2 linked regions of the Caenorhabditis elegans genome follow. The protein of the gene in region 1 interacts with the protein of each later gene in a pairwise test. Each region holds a gene or a part of one and is shown in the gene's direction. Other genes may lie near its edges. The genes, in order: zag-1 and daf-19.

The links.
Region 2: the proteins of zag-1 (region 1) and daf-19 interact in a two-hybrid assay, tested with the Caenorhabditis elegans proteins (one large-scale study listed by BioGRID).

Annotation. Positions count from the first base shown.
Region 1 is NC_003282.8:3,854,161-3,861,959, forward strand, and holds zag-1 (Zinc finger E-box-binding homeobox protein zag-1), read left to right. Parts: upstream 1-1,682; 5' UTR 1,683-1,689; coding exon 1,690-1,848; intron 1,849-2,410; coding exon 2,411-2,953; intron 2,954-3,231; coding exon 3,232-3,333; intron 3,334-3,553; coding exon 3,554-3,742; intron 3,743-4,023; exon of another isoform or gene 4,024-4,238; intron 4,239-5,442; coding exon 5,443-5,790; intron 5,791-6,160; coding exon 6,161-6,332; intron 6,333-6,686; coding exon 6,687-6,964; 3' UTR 6,965-7,409; downstream 7,410-7,799. UniProt on the Caenorhabditis elegans protein: Transcription factor. Down-regulates expression of genes involved in either the synthesis or reuptake of serotonin, dopamine and GABA.
Region 2 is NC_003280.10:10,166,331-10,171,438, reverse strand, and holds the start of daf-19 (RFX-like transcription factor daf-19), read left to right. Parts: upstream 1-2,093; 5' UTR 2,094-2,117; coding exon 2,118-2,185; intron 2,186-3,176; coding exon 3,177-3,365; intron 3,366-5,108. Other genes in the region: gpd-4 (Glyceraldehyde-3-phosphate dehydrogenase 4), read right to left, coding at 1-159. UniProt on the Caenorhabditis elegans protein: Probable transcription factor. May regulate some genes of ciliated sensory neurons. May activate the expression of the shared components of sensory cilia, but not the cell-type-specific expression.

The DNA of each region.
Region 1 (7,799 bases):
TGGCAATTTCTCTTGAGTTTAGGAAGTTCACGTGGTGTCAGAGTGCCCCATTTCTTTTTGATCTACGTAGATCTACTAGAATATTCTCAACTGACTTCTCAACTGATTTTGCATGGTTAAGAACGTGCTGATGTCACTTTTTTGTGGAAAAATTCCCGCATTTTTTGTAGATCAAGCCGTGATGGGACAGCCTAACATCACGTTGGAATTATTGTCTTCCGTACATAAAGATCAGGAGTAACGATTTTTGTCAGCTGACTATTTCATATTGTCTCAATTTAGGATTTACTAAGTACCTATCCTGAAACCGACATTTCAGTTATATAGTTTGGCATAGTTTTTTGGCAAAATTTAGAAACAATTTTTTCCTGATTGCTGTTACCCGCCAAAAATTTCGAAGCCCCTCCTTCCCGCCTCTAAAACTCCACCCACCCGGACACCGAAATTCCCAAAAGGGGCTCCAGAAACTGGGCGGAGCCCCCCTTCCCATCTGGCAATCGAACCTTCATTCATCCCAACTACAGTAAGGTAAAGTGGTCTTCCTTCCCCCAAAATGTGGGCGTGGCTGGTGGCAGGTGGATGGGGGTCCGTCGCTTCCCGCAAACACTCACAGATGAGCCCTCCTGAGGTTCATGTGTGCTTCTTCTCTTTTCTCTTATTGTGTGTGAGTGTTGGGTGGTGTGCGAGACTGCACACACACACACACACACATTCTCATAGTGAGCTCTCACGTCGTCTGGAGCCCTGCGGCAAGAGGCACCGCTCCTCTAGGTGTGCATCTTCTTCATTTGGCACCTTTCCCCGCACGTTTTCCGCTTTTTCTTCTCCCCTTTCTTCGGGGAGCTTTTGCTACTAAAGAAGGGGGCCCCATTATTGGGATGCTCTCTTCTGTGTGTGTGTGTCTCTTTCATTTCGCGGAAAACTTCCATATCTTGCCAACTCATCAAGGTGCCTGGCCATCCTCTCACACTACTTCTACCCTTTGTTCATTTTTCCTGAGTGCCGCCTGCTGCTTCTTATTCATTCAATTATTCCTCTTCTTTTCCATTCCCCCTTTTCACCGTTTCTTTCCTCAAGAGCTTTTCGCTCAAGAGTTTTCTCGATTTGGTCTACAGTACCTCTGGCGGTTTTTTGGAGCCTTTTGAGCATCAGTGGTCAAGTTGGTCACTCAAATAAAATTTTCATAGCTCACCTAGAACTCATTGTGGCATTCTATTTTTTCGAAATTTTGTTAATTGATAATTTTAACCTGTTGTATCTTTTTGAATCTGGTAGAAAACAAATTTTTCCCTGTTATTCTGTAGAACATCAAATTTGCTACATTTTCTTGTTTGACAACTTTTTGATAGCTAACAAACTCGCGGAGATATCTCCTGCCAAATTTGTAACGTATAATTTATAGTAACTTTCTAGCAAAAATACAATACTTTTACAATTGAGAATATGTTTTTTAAAACACTTTTTGATAACTTGTCAGCTTAAATTTTTACTAACTAACTGTCATATATTCTAAGATTTGCAAGCTATCAAAAAATTAAAGTTTAATATTTTATTCACTACAAATTGTCTAGGTAACAAATCATTGATAGCTATCAAATCTGAGCGGATACCCCCATTTTTCTCTCTTCTCTATAAAATTACGCATTTCTTTTTTCTTTTTTGTTTTTAATTTTCTAAATTCCAGGTAAAATGGTAGATATCGCCGAAGCCATGCCAACAACCGCCAGCAGTCTACCATCAGACGAGGCGCTGCGCAAATTCAAGTGCCCGGAATGCACAAAAGCGTTCAAATTCAAGCATCACCTCAAGGAGCACATCAGAATCCATTCGGGCGAGAAACCTTTCGAGGTAGGTCCTAGTGCTCGCCGAGTCACCTGTTGCTCTCCCAGCTAACCAATTTATCAATGTCTAACATGACAAGCGGGGAATGAGGGGAGAAATACCTGTGCTCTAATGATGATATAGGTGTAAGACCGGGGCTCTCCTCTCACAACATAAGTTTTCTAGTTTTGAGCAAGAACAACAAAAGGTGAGAGAGAGCCGGCCGGAAAAGTATAGATGCCCGCTAGGCATTCATTAATTCGTCTACATCCCCGAGCATCTTTTTTTTCCTTATAGCTAGCTAGGCTTCATCCTCAAAAGGTGTGTGCTCATTGGATACGGGATACTTTACGCTACCTGAGCTCCACCCTCCCCCCGCACCTCTGGCTCACCTCTCACCTGGAGCCCACGCCCCTTGTGCGGCTATTGGCTAGCGGCGAAATAATGCACCTTTGGGTGCAATAAACAAACCTTGGCTCTCCATCAGTACGTGTGATCCAGTGCCTCAAAGATTTATAGGTCCCAGTGGGGGAGCTCCTGCGCTCGCTGCCTCCGTGATAAATTAATGTTTTTACTTTATTTTTTGCAGTGCCAACAGTGCCACAAACGCTTCTCGCACTCCGGATCGTACTCCTCACACATGAGCTCGAAGAAATGCGTGCAACAGGCATCCCCGTCGATGGTGACCCCATTCAATCCATATCAGCTGATGATGTATAGGAATATTATGCTCCAATTGCAAACTCCCCAGGTCTCCTTTCTCCCGTCCACCGCCGCAAACAATATGGACTATATGAGCCTTCTCCAGGCAAATTTGTTCCAATCTTTAGAGAACGGCACCTCGCCAACGCCTACTCAGGAGCCCAGCGCTCCAGCGTCTCCTGAGCCGAAGATTGAGGTAGTCGATGAGCCGGAAGTGTCTTCTGAAGTGAAAACGGAGGTCAAGACGGAGGTCAAGACGGAGGACTCGGTGCCAGAGGAATCGATAACGCCGGCCGTGTCAATGTCGTTGTCACCTGCGCCTGAGCAAAACGGAAATGAGTCGATGAATAATGGAGGCAGCGGATCCGATGGGAAGTCGTCGCCGGATTGGAGGCCGCTGAGGTCTAGAAGCTTTTTGAATGATTCACAGGTAAGGATTTTTTTAAACTGTTGGAAGTTTTATCTAAATTTTGTACCAAAGATTGAAAAATTGTTCGATGTACCACGTTCTGAGGATTATCAAAAACTGTCAACTAACAAAATGTTTGCAAAACTTTAAGAAACAATTAGCTGGTTACTAAAAATTTGGTAGAGCCCTTCCTCAAGTAGAAATAATCTCTAAGACATGGTGCATCAAACATTTTTTTACTAGCAAAGTTTTCAGACCACAGCAAACATAAAACGTTAATTTAAAATCAATATTTTCAGGTGGCAGTTCTGCAAAACCACTTCAAACGCAACCCATTTCCCTCCAAATACGAGCTCTCCGCCGTGGCCGAGCAGATTGGCGTCAACAAGCGCGTCGTTCAGGTGAGTAAAGATTTATTCGCCGTTTTTAACGACGCTTTCCCACAAAAGTTTCCCACAAGGTGGCGTCTCTGGACGGGAAGTGGAAGCACATACACACACACATGTGCTCAAGTGGCTCATCAAATTGTTGTACATACATCACGTCCCCAGGACGCAGGTGCCGGTGCTCATCGCGTTATTCCACCAGTTTACCGCATACACATTTCTTCCGTTTTTCCAGGTCTGGTTCCAAAACACTCGAGCCAAAGAACGCCGGAGCAATCGGCTCCCAAGTATGCCACGCGGCAGTGTGGCTTCTGCCGCAGCTGCGGCTGCGACTTCACCTACCGTATGGCAGACGCCTGTACAGTTGATGGCTGCCTGGGCTTCACAGTTCTCAAATGGAAACAACAGCTTGACCGCATCTCAGGTAATTGTGGGGAATCAGAAAATGTGTGACACATGTTTTGTTTTCGCGCACACACATTTGGTGCCAGATTCTATACAATTGGATTAAAAGTAGCAAAAAATCTGGCTATAGGAAATAGACAACACTTTTTGCTAATTTTAACCTTCTCGCGCATTTGACAATTATATCTCAAGGGGGTCATTAGGGGGTCATCAGGTACAACGTGTCAACTTTCCTAATATAATTGATCAGAAATTTGATGTTTCGGGTAGCCCCAGGTGATCCATAAATCATGTTGTCCCAACCAGCTTGGGGGCTCACTCACTTCTTTCAAAATATCAATTCATCAATTTCACGTCTCCCTCATCCCCCCATCCACTCCTCCCTGTCTCTCGTTGCTTGAGGCAGGTTGTAAATGAGGCTTCCCTACCATGTGCCCCCTCGCCCCACGTCTCATCAAATTTGCCTAATTCGACACCTGCTCCTAGTTTTATGAATATTTATGGGTGGTACTGTTCCTGGCGAGGAAATTAAGTTGGTAGTTGAACAGTTTCTCGGTGGAGCATCATGTTTTAGAAGGTATACCAAGAAAAGTGTTATCAGAAAGTTGGCAACTGACAAATCGTGGAAAATTTAGTCCTTGCACCATGTTTCGGAGAGTTTTTGCAAGGGTTTATCTTTGCTAGCATCAGAGCAAACATTTTTTGAAAGCATAAATATTTGTTCAACATTTTGTAGCTTTGATGTACCATGTTTTGGAAACTGCGGTCTCCGCTCTCTGCCGATGTGCCAAGTTTGGAAGATAGTGTCATTTTGAGGGTACATCTCTGCGGGCATCAGAGCTATCAAGAATTTACCAACTAACAATATGTAGCAAATTTTGTGGTTAACTTTTTGTCAGTAAATCACGTTTAGATATCTCAAGCCCCTGTAGAGATATTCAATTTTTCAATTCTCAATGCACCATGTTTGGTGCTAAAATCCCACGCCACTACAAAAGTGTTTGCCTCAAAAAACTTCACTCCTATAATCCAATCAAGGAAGAATAGACACCTAAAAGAGGGGACATTGTCGTAGATATGAATAGGAGAGCATCTGTCGAGAAGACACCCATAAAAGAAGGGAAGGCAGAAACAGGAAGAGATGTATAATAGGATGATACTAAATGAGGGTGAATGGCTTGTTGTCACCAGCCACCACCTGAGCCCGCTTCTCAAGATGTTGCTTTGAATGGGTCCTCTGGGCTCCGGAGAGTCTGAGGGAGCAGGAAGCTTAGGCGGGGGACTGTCGAAGATGGCCTGAAAGTGCATCGGGGGCTCATCTCACATGATGCTCTCATCAATTTCCTTTTGTCTTCTTGCATAATTTGTGTCATTCAATTTACCTTCTCCTCTTGTCCATCCGCCGGCGCGCTCTCACACCGAGATGAAGCGGCGGCGGTTGGAGACTCAGACGGGGCAGAGACGGGACCCATCAATGGAAATGAAATGAATTCGAGTGTTTTTGGTATTGGGAAAAAGAAGGAGCAGTGAGGAGTCAGTGTGTGTGGTGGAAGGCAGGCAGCACCTGCTAATGAGCTTCTTTGTCCCCCTCCTTCCTTTTCGCTTTCTTAAGGGGGACTTTTTGGCTTTGAAAATTGAAAATTAGTTGAATTCGGGGGTCACGCCTTACTATTTTGGTATTTCTGAAAGTTTAATGAATCATAATGAATCATATTCCAGGACGAGCGCAACAACGAGAATACGGACGAGGTAATGGATCATGATGGCCTTAAGGATGGCAAAGAGACACCACTGGACCTCACGCTATCCACAGACGACACGGAGCCCGAGTGGAGCCCTGAGAAGCTCATCGGCTTCCTCGACCAGACTGGTGGAGTGATCCAGGAGTTGCTGCGGCAGGCTGGAAATGGATTCGTGACGAATCAAGAGGACGAGGAGGAGAAGCCGATCAAGGCCGAGGAAAGCCCCGTGTCGAGCGGATCTTCGTCGATTTGGCCGTCGTTTATTGGGCAGTACCCATCGATTTTGGACTCTGCTAGCTTATCGGTTTTGGAGAAAGCTCTTGATGTAAGTTTTATAGATTTTTCGGAGTGTTTCGCAATACAATTTTTGATGCTCCATGTTTTGAATAGCGTTGTCAGTTGGAAAGAACAAAAAACCTTTTTGGCATATCTCAGCGGGTGTAAGTTTTATTAAAAAATTATCAACTGAAAAATTTCAGCAAATTTTATAGTTAAGACTTTTTCAGTAAAAATTTTTTTGATAGCCTGGGCTTCCGTGAAGATATAAGAGCTGTAAGATATGTGATTATTTATTCCAATAAACAAATTTTTGAAAAGCTTTATTACCCGCCAAGATATGCTCTTACAAATAACTTTCAAGACATGGTGCATCATAATTTGGCCCCAAATTCAACCAAAATTTTAAATATTTTCAGCAACAAAAATCATCCGAAGACGACGCCTCATCCCTTTGCTCCAACGAATCCAAGCTTCTCAAATTCCCCACGACCCCCCTAAAAGAGGAAGAGGGTCTCTTCTCGTGCGATCAATGTGACAAGGTGTTCGGCAAGCAAAGTTCACTGGCTCGACACAAATACGAACATTCTGGTGAGTAAAGCATCCTTGTAGATGGGCGGAAAGGATGGAGGGGAGGTACAGGAAATTAGAGGGTATTAGAGGGGGAGAAAATAGACACCATGTTTGGATACATACGTGATGCAATCGTATTAATTGAAGAAGGGGGTAATCTAATTGAGAAGATAGACCGGGGGACAGCTGTATGTGTTCTTAAGCTCAAATCATTTTGAATACAATTTGATCAGCAAAAAGGTTGAATTTTTTCAAGTTTTTGACATCGAGAAACTGGCCGCTTTAAATTTTCGTAACTTTTGAGCCAGTTAGTTTTCCAAATAGTCAACTGACAAAACGTATTAAATTTCAATAAAAATCTTCAATTTTCAGGCCAACGCCCTTATAAATGTGACATCTGCGAGAAGGCGTTCAAGCACAAGCATCACCTGACCGAGCACAAGCGGCTCCACTCCGGCGAGAAGCCATTCCAATGTGACAAATGCCTGAAGAGATTCTCCCATTCTGGAAGTTACAGTCAGCACATGAACCACCGCTATTCGTACTGCAAACCGTACCGGGAGCAGCCAGCTTCACCGTCCGACGTTTTGAACGGCGGAAGTGTTACCGTATCCCCATCCTCCTCGAATACCCCACCGCCTTCTACCTAGAGATCTCAACTTTTCCAACTTTTTTTTTTGAAATTCTTCCGAAATATTGGCTGTGCCAATAAACGTCTTGCCTTGCAGCTTCCTATGGTGCTTTTTATGTACAGTTTATCAAATTTTTTCCCTGAAAATATAGTCATCATTCTCCGTGATATGCTTCGCTTTTTCCTTCAACTTATCTCCTGGCCGGTGCCGTGCTTTCGCTTTTCTCCCCCACCTCACTTTCAATTCTTTCTTAACCCAATTTTTATTTCAACTAGAACAAAAACTACTAGTCAGATCTTCACAAAAAATGGTGCAATTTGAAATTTCCTTCCCCTACCTTCCGTGCTGGCTCATTTGGGACCAACTAACTTTCGTGTAACGCAGATTCCCTTCTCCTTTTTGTTTTGTTTTGTTTAGTTTTGGCTAAATAATATTAATAATGATAATAAATTGTTCTTTTTTTTTTGAGGAAAATTTGTTGCAAGAAAAAAAAACATTTTCAACTGCAATCAACGATGCAATAGAGCTATCGAAAAATTATATATTTAAATCAATTTTACCGACCATGCAACTCTCGAATTATGAAAAATAAAACATGGTACATCAAACATTATTTTGCAAAATTTGCAAGTTGCCGGTAGAACAGGCATGGCTGCAGGTTAGTAGGTAGGCGATGAGACACGCAGAACGCAGACAAGCAGTGCAGATGGTCGACATTTGGCCAAGAATCCAGGTAGGCATAAATGTAGGCGAGCAGGTAGACGAGTAGGTAGACACACTTTAAAATATAACACCTTTTCAAATTACAATAGGCTAGCTATTCTGCCTAGTTGGTGAGAAAAGACAAACGCAG
Region 2 (5,108 bases), on another chromosome or scaffold:
GTGGGTCGAGTCATACTTGAAAAGGTAGACCATGTAGTCGATTGTGATAAACGGATCGTTGACGGCGACCACTTGAACCGTGTCCTTTTCGACAGCCGCGCGGAGCACGAGACGTCCGATTCTTCCGAAACCGTTGATTCCGACGTTGGCTTTCGACATTTTTTTGAGTCTGTAAGAAAACTTGAATGAAATTTTGACGGAAGATTCACAAGAAGTAATAGCTTAAGAAGGAACAAATCTGAATAAAAATGGCGAAAATTCAGATTGAAGCAAAGAGAGCAAAGCAAAATCAACCGCATCGGGAAGAAAAAGAGAATAAATGATGAAAAAGAAATCTAGATTGGTGAACAACTGCAGAAAATTGAAAACTTGCCGCTCGTGCGCGTCTGCAAAGCGCAAAAATATTTTTCATATTCGTTGCGAGACCCGTGGTTTTTAAATTTGGTCATCCCTTTAAAATTGAAAATTCTGGTGGAAAAAAATCAATAATTTTTCTTCAAAAATAAAGAGAAGATCAAAAATTATTGAAAATGAATTTTTATTCCGAAAAATCGAGAATAACACTAAATTTATCAGCTTTTAAGTGTAATCTAGAAATAAAAAAGAAAAACTATGCAAAAACTGAATATAAAAATGTGAAAATAAAATATTTTCGTTTCTTTTCTGAAGAAAAAAATAAATATAATATGCATTGTTTTATATCTATGGATATAAGACAATAATTGTTGATTTTTAGCTATTTTCAACAGGAAAACCGATTTTGTGCCGCTCTCTGATAAACTTGGGTACGGTATGTCTTGAAATCGAAAATTGTAACTCATAGTTTATTACGGGAACACAAAATTCTGAGAATGCATATTATTTACGGGCTCGAATGGATTAAAATAATTTATTTATCTATAGAATACTAAAATTAAGCAAAAAATGAGAAACGAATGAAAAAAGAATGTCGCTGTTCGAAATTAAATTAATTTCATAAATCGAGCCCGTAAATCGACACAAGCGCTACAGTAGTCATTTAAAGAATTACTGTATACAGCTGTAGTTCTCGCTACGAGATATTTAAAGCGTCAAATATGTTGCACAGTACGAATTTTTAGAATTTTGTGTTCCGGTAATATGTAAACTGTATTAATCATCCAGATTAAGAATATTACAATTTATAAAGCAAAAATACAGTATCAGGTCTCGACACGACCTTGAATTTTTAAACGGTTTCTCCAAAAAAGAGTGTACATTTTTAATAAGTAACTACAATAGTTCTTAATTGTCGCGGTTCACAGCTTTCAGTAACAAACTTCCGATCGTTGCAAGACCGTATTCTTGCAACATCTTTGTAGTTTCAAACTTTTAAACATGACTTTGACAGAACATTTCAGAGTTTTTTTGGGATGTCTGATTGTTTTTAACAGGTATGTTTGAAGAAGGAAATTTAATAAAATAAGTAACCTAGGTATATTATATTATTAACTCTCAAACATGTTGAATGTTTCATGTTACTTGAAATACTTGAAATTTGAAAAAAAAACTATTGTGATACTGATACATGTTACGGTATTTATTTTTCAGATTCGCCAGTCTGTGAGGAATATGTCCTAGTTTTCAGCTTCCGTTCCTATGCAAGCGCCGAGCCACCTTCTTCCCAACCTCGGGGGCCCTTAAAGAAATACTTTTAAGAAGGAGAAGCAGGGAAGAAGTGATGTTCCATTGTTGAGAGGGGCCCTAGGCACACACACATATCTCCTTTTCGTCCCATCTCTTCACCCACAACAACACACACACAACTGAGACACACACACTCGCACCACACACACTCACACAGACAGACACTCTCTCACTCACTCACGTACACTCCCCCAGGCAACGAGGAGACACTCCCCGCTGCCGCACATATTTTATCGACGCAGCAACTTAGTTTCGTTCCCCCCTCCCTAACTCTCTCTCTAGGCCACCTTTGCTTTTCTCTAGCTGCTTTTCCGGCTTCATCTCGGCTTCTTTTACAATTTTGGTTTCCATGGAAACTACTTCCAAATTATCCAAGAGACTAAATGCAACATCGTCTGGGTCTCTCTCTGTAAATGTCTAGTTTCAGGGGTGGTGCGGCAGAGAAGAAAGTCATGACCAATGAGGAGCCGGTGCCATCGACGAGCAGTGTGCTCAGTGCAGCCGAGAAAAACGTGAAGATGTGAGTAGTCTATCTGCAAAAATCGGCTGAAAGTCTGTACGACCACCTGTGCGAGAAAAACCCCATATCTTATCATATCAAATTCTCCCATCCCATCACTTTTTTCCCATTATTTCCATTTTCGAGAAAGAGATGAATGACCTTCACACGGTGTCGTCGTTGGGTGGCCATAGGAACATTGAATTGGAGAAAAAAAAGATACAGCAAAAAAAAGTGTGACATGACAAGAAAAAAACTGTTTAAGAAAAAAAAGAAGAAAATTAAGTAAATGAGGAAGGAAGTAGGAAAAATACTTTATTTATCAAAATAAATGTATAATATTTCAAAAAAAAAATCACCGAAACTTACAGTTTTGAAAAATGCGTTTCGTAGAACAACTACTATAGTGCTTAAATGTTCAAAAATTATAGCAAAACTTTTGGTTTTTTTTATTTACAGTCAAAAAAGTGGTGAAAACTTTGTCATAATTTTGAAAATCGACCAAAAAAATCAAAATTTCTACGAGTTTTATATTTTAATTAGAACGTTCTAGAAATTTGAACCGGCATCAATTTCACAATTTCGGAACATTTGGCAATTTACTAACTTCGGAAGGTTTTCAGATTTTTCAAAATTCAAAAAAAAAATCGAAATTTTTGTAGTGTTTAATTAGGATATTTGGCTTTTTTTCTACAAATGTATTTCTTTAGGACATAATTCAGTTTATGCTTAGGCAAGAAGGCTCTAGGTGTATGTGCCTGCCTATCGAAATGTACTGCAATTTTGCGTGAACTCCGGTATTTTCATGTTTTTGATAATGTAGATTTTAATCCGAACTTCTTAAGTTAATTTTCAAATCAATCAATTTATCGAAAGGTCTTTTAAAAATGCGCACAATAGGCTCCAAGCAGGCCTAGGTTTTCTTGAAGGCTGGCAAAGTATATAATCTTGTGAAATATTTTTGAAGCTTTGAAAGTTGTGGTCACTTTAAAACAATAACCAATTTTTTCAGAGAGACTCCTTCAAGGAAGCGAAAAGGACTTGATATTGATGCACTTTGGAGGAAGAAATTTAAAGATGTCGAAAATCAAAAATCACCGGAGAAATCTGAAAAGTCTGAAAAAACGATTAAAGAAGAGCCTCTAGAAACACATCCATCTGGAGAAAGAAAACTTCGATCTGCATCCAAAGATTCAAAATCGTAAGTTTTTTCTTTCAACAACCAACAAATTGACTATCAATGGAGCGTTTTGTAAAATGTGTTTAAAGTTGAGGAACTAACGTTCTCATCTTCACACTTCCTCTCTACTTTGGTTCCTCTCTCTCTTCATCTGCTCCTGGCTTTGCATCTTTTCTCTCTGGAGAATTGGCGAGGGCATAAATTAGCGTAGAGTAGTGGTCGGTTTGTCTATGCTATACTCTCAGACCCAAAACGAAGAGCAAAGTGAGAGAAAGTAGAAAGAAGAGCACAAAGATATGAACAAGAAATTATGAAAAAGATGGTGAAGCACCCGGTGTGTGAACGTGACCAAAAGCGGGAAGTTTTCTGAAAATAAAAACAAATTAGCTGGAATAAAACGACAACGAAAAATAATGAAACGATAAAAGAGTAAGAAAAGGAAATTAAATTTTACATGAAAATGTAGGATTTTCAAAACATTAGTAATATTAAAAAAAAAAAAACTAAAGTATAACATGATTATCAGCTACAGTAACAGATAGAATTTTGAAAACTTGAAATTGAAATATTCCAAACTTTGAAAAAGTGCACAGTTCAAAAGGAGTTGTATGGAAAAATGATTTTAACTGAAGTTTTAATCAAAAACTGAAACAGATCGATTTGAGTTTAAAAAATTTACTATAGCTGCATACAAGCATATTGAAACATATAAAGTCTGTCTGAAAGTTTTCAGACAATTATTTAATTTAAGTAAATGAAATTGGTTGAGAAAATGAAGTTTTATTTTTGTTCAGAAAAGCTTCAATGATATTTTAAAGATACGAGAACGATTTTAAAATATTCCCAGAATTCTTAATTTTTTTATAATTTAAAAAATCAATGAAATTTTTTAAAAACAATTCTCTGAAAGAACAGAAAACTTATTTAGGACTATGATTTTATTTCCGAATGTTTGAAGTACCAGAATTACCACAAAATATAATTGAAGTTTCCTATTTTTTAAAAGAAAAATCTGATCACATCGCTTGATGGAAAATGATTTTGGATAAGATTAGAAATGTGATCTTTAATTAGAAAAATCCACAAAATAATGTGTCGGAAAAAAAAAACAAATGCAGATGAATAAAAACAGAACTTGAAGGTTAAAGGGAAAAATTCCAATTTTTTTAATTTGCAGTCAAAACTTGAGATTAAAAAACTCAGTTTTTGCCAATCATAATTTTGGAAATCGACAAAAAATTGTTTCCGTAAATTTGGTAATTTGCTAAATATTAGGCTGTAAATGCTCCAAAATTAAATAAAAATTCGGGGGTGTCAGCTCAAGAAAAGTCAGTTCAAGATGATTAGATGCTGCAAGTTTTCGATTGGCTTGCAGGGGGTGCAACTTTAATAGAGGGAATTCGGTATTCCGAATTAGTAATAGTGAAATTGAAAATTGAGAAAAACTCACATTAAAGGTAAATTAGAAGAAGCACGAGTTCTTTCTAAATTCCAAAATATCTCGTGAACTCGTGCCAATTAAGAGGAGAACTAGTGGCGGGTGGAGTGGTGTGCTTGTCGGCTTGGAGTGGGTGGAGTGATAACAGAAGCCCGATTCGGAGTCCCTTTCTGCGTTTCCATGGATACGGGGAATAATGAAAACCTCGCATCCGCTTCCCCCCACTTTTGTCATCTCATACTACTACTATTTAGTTTATTTGTTAATTTTTCATATCCCATGTCTTTTCGACATGCTAAAATTCAAATCCTAGAGTCAAATTTAAT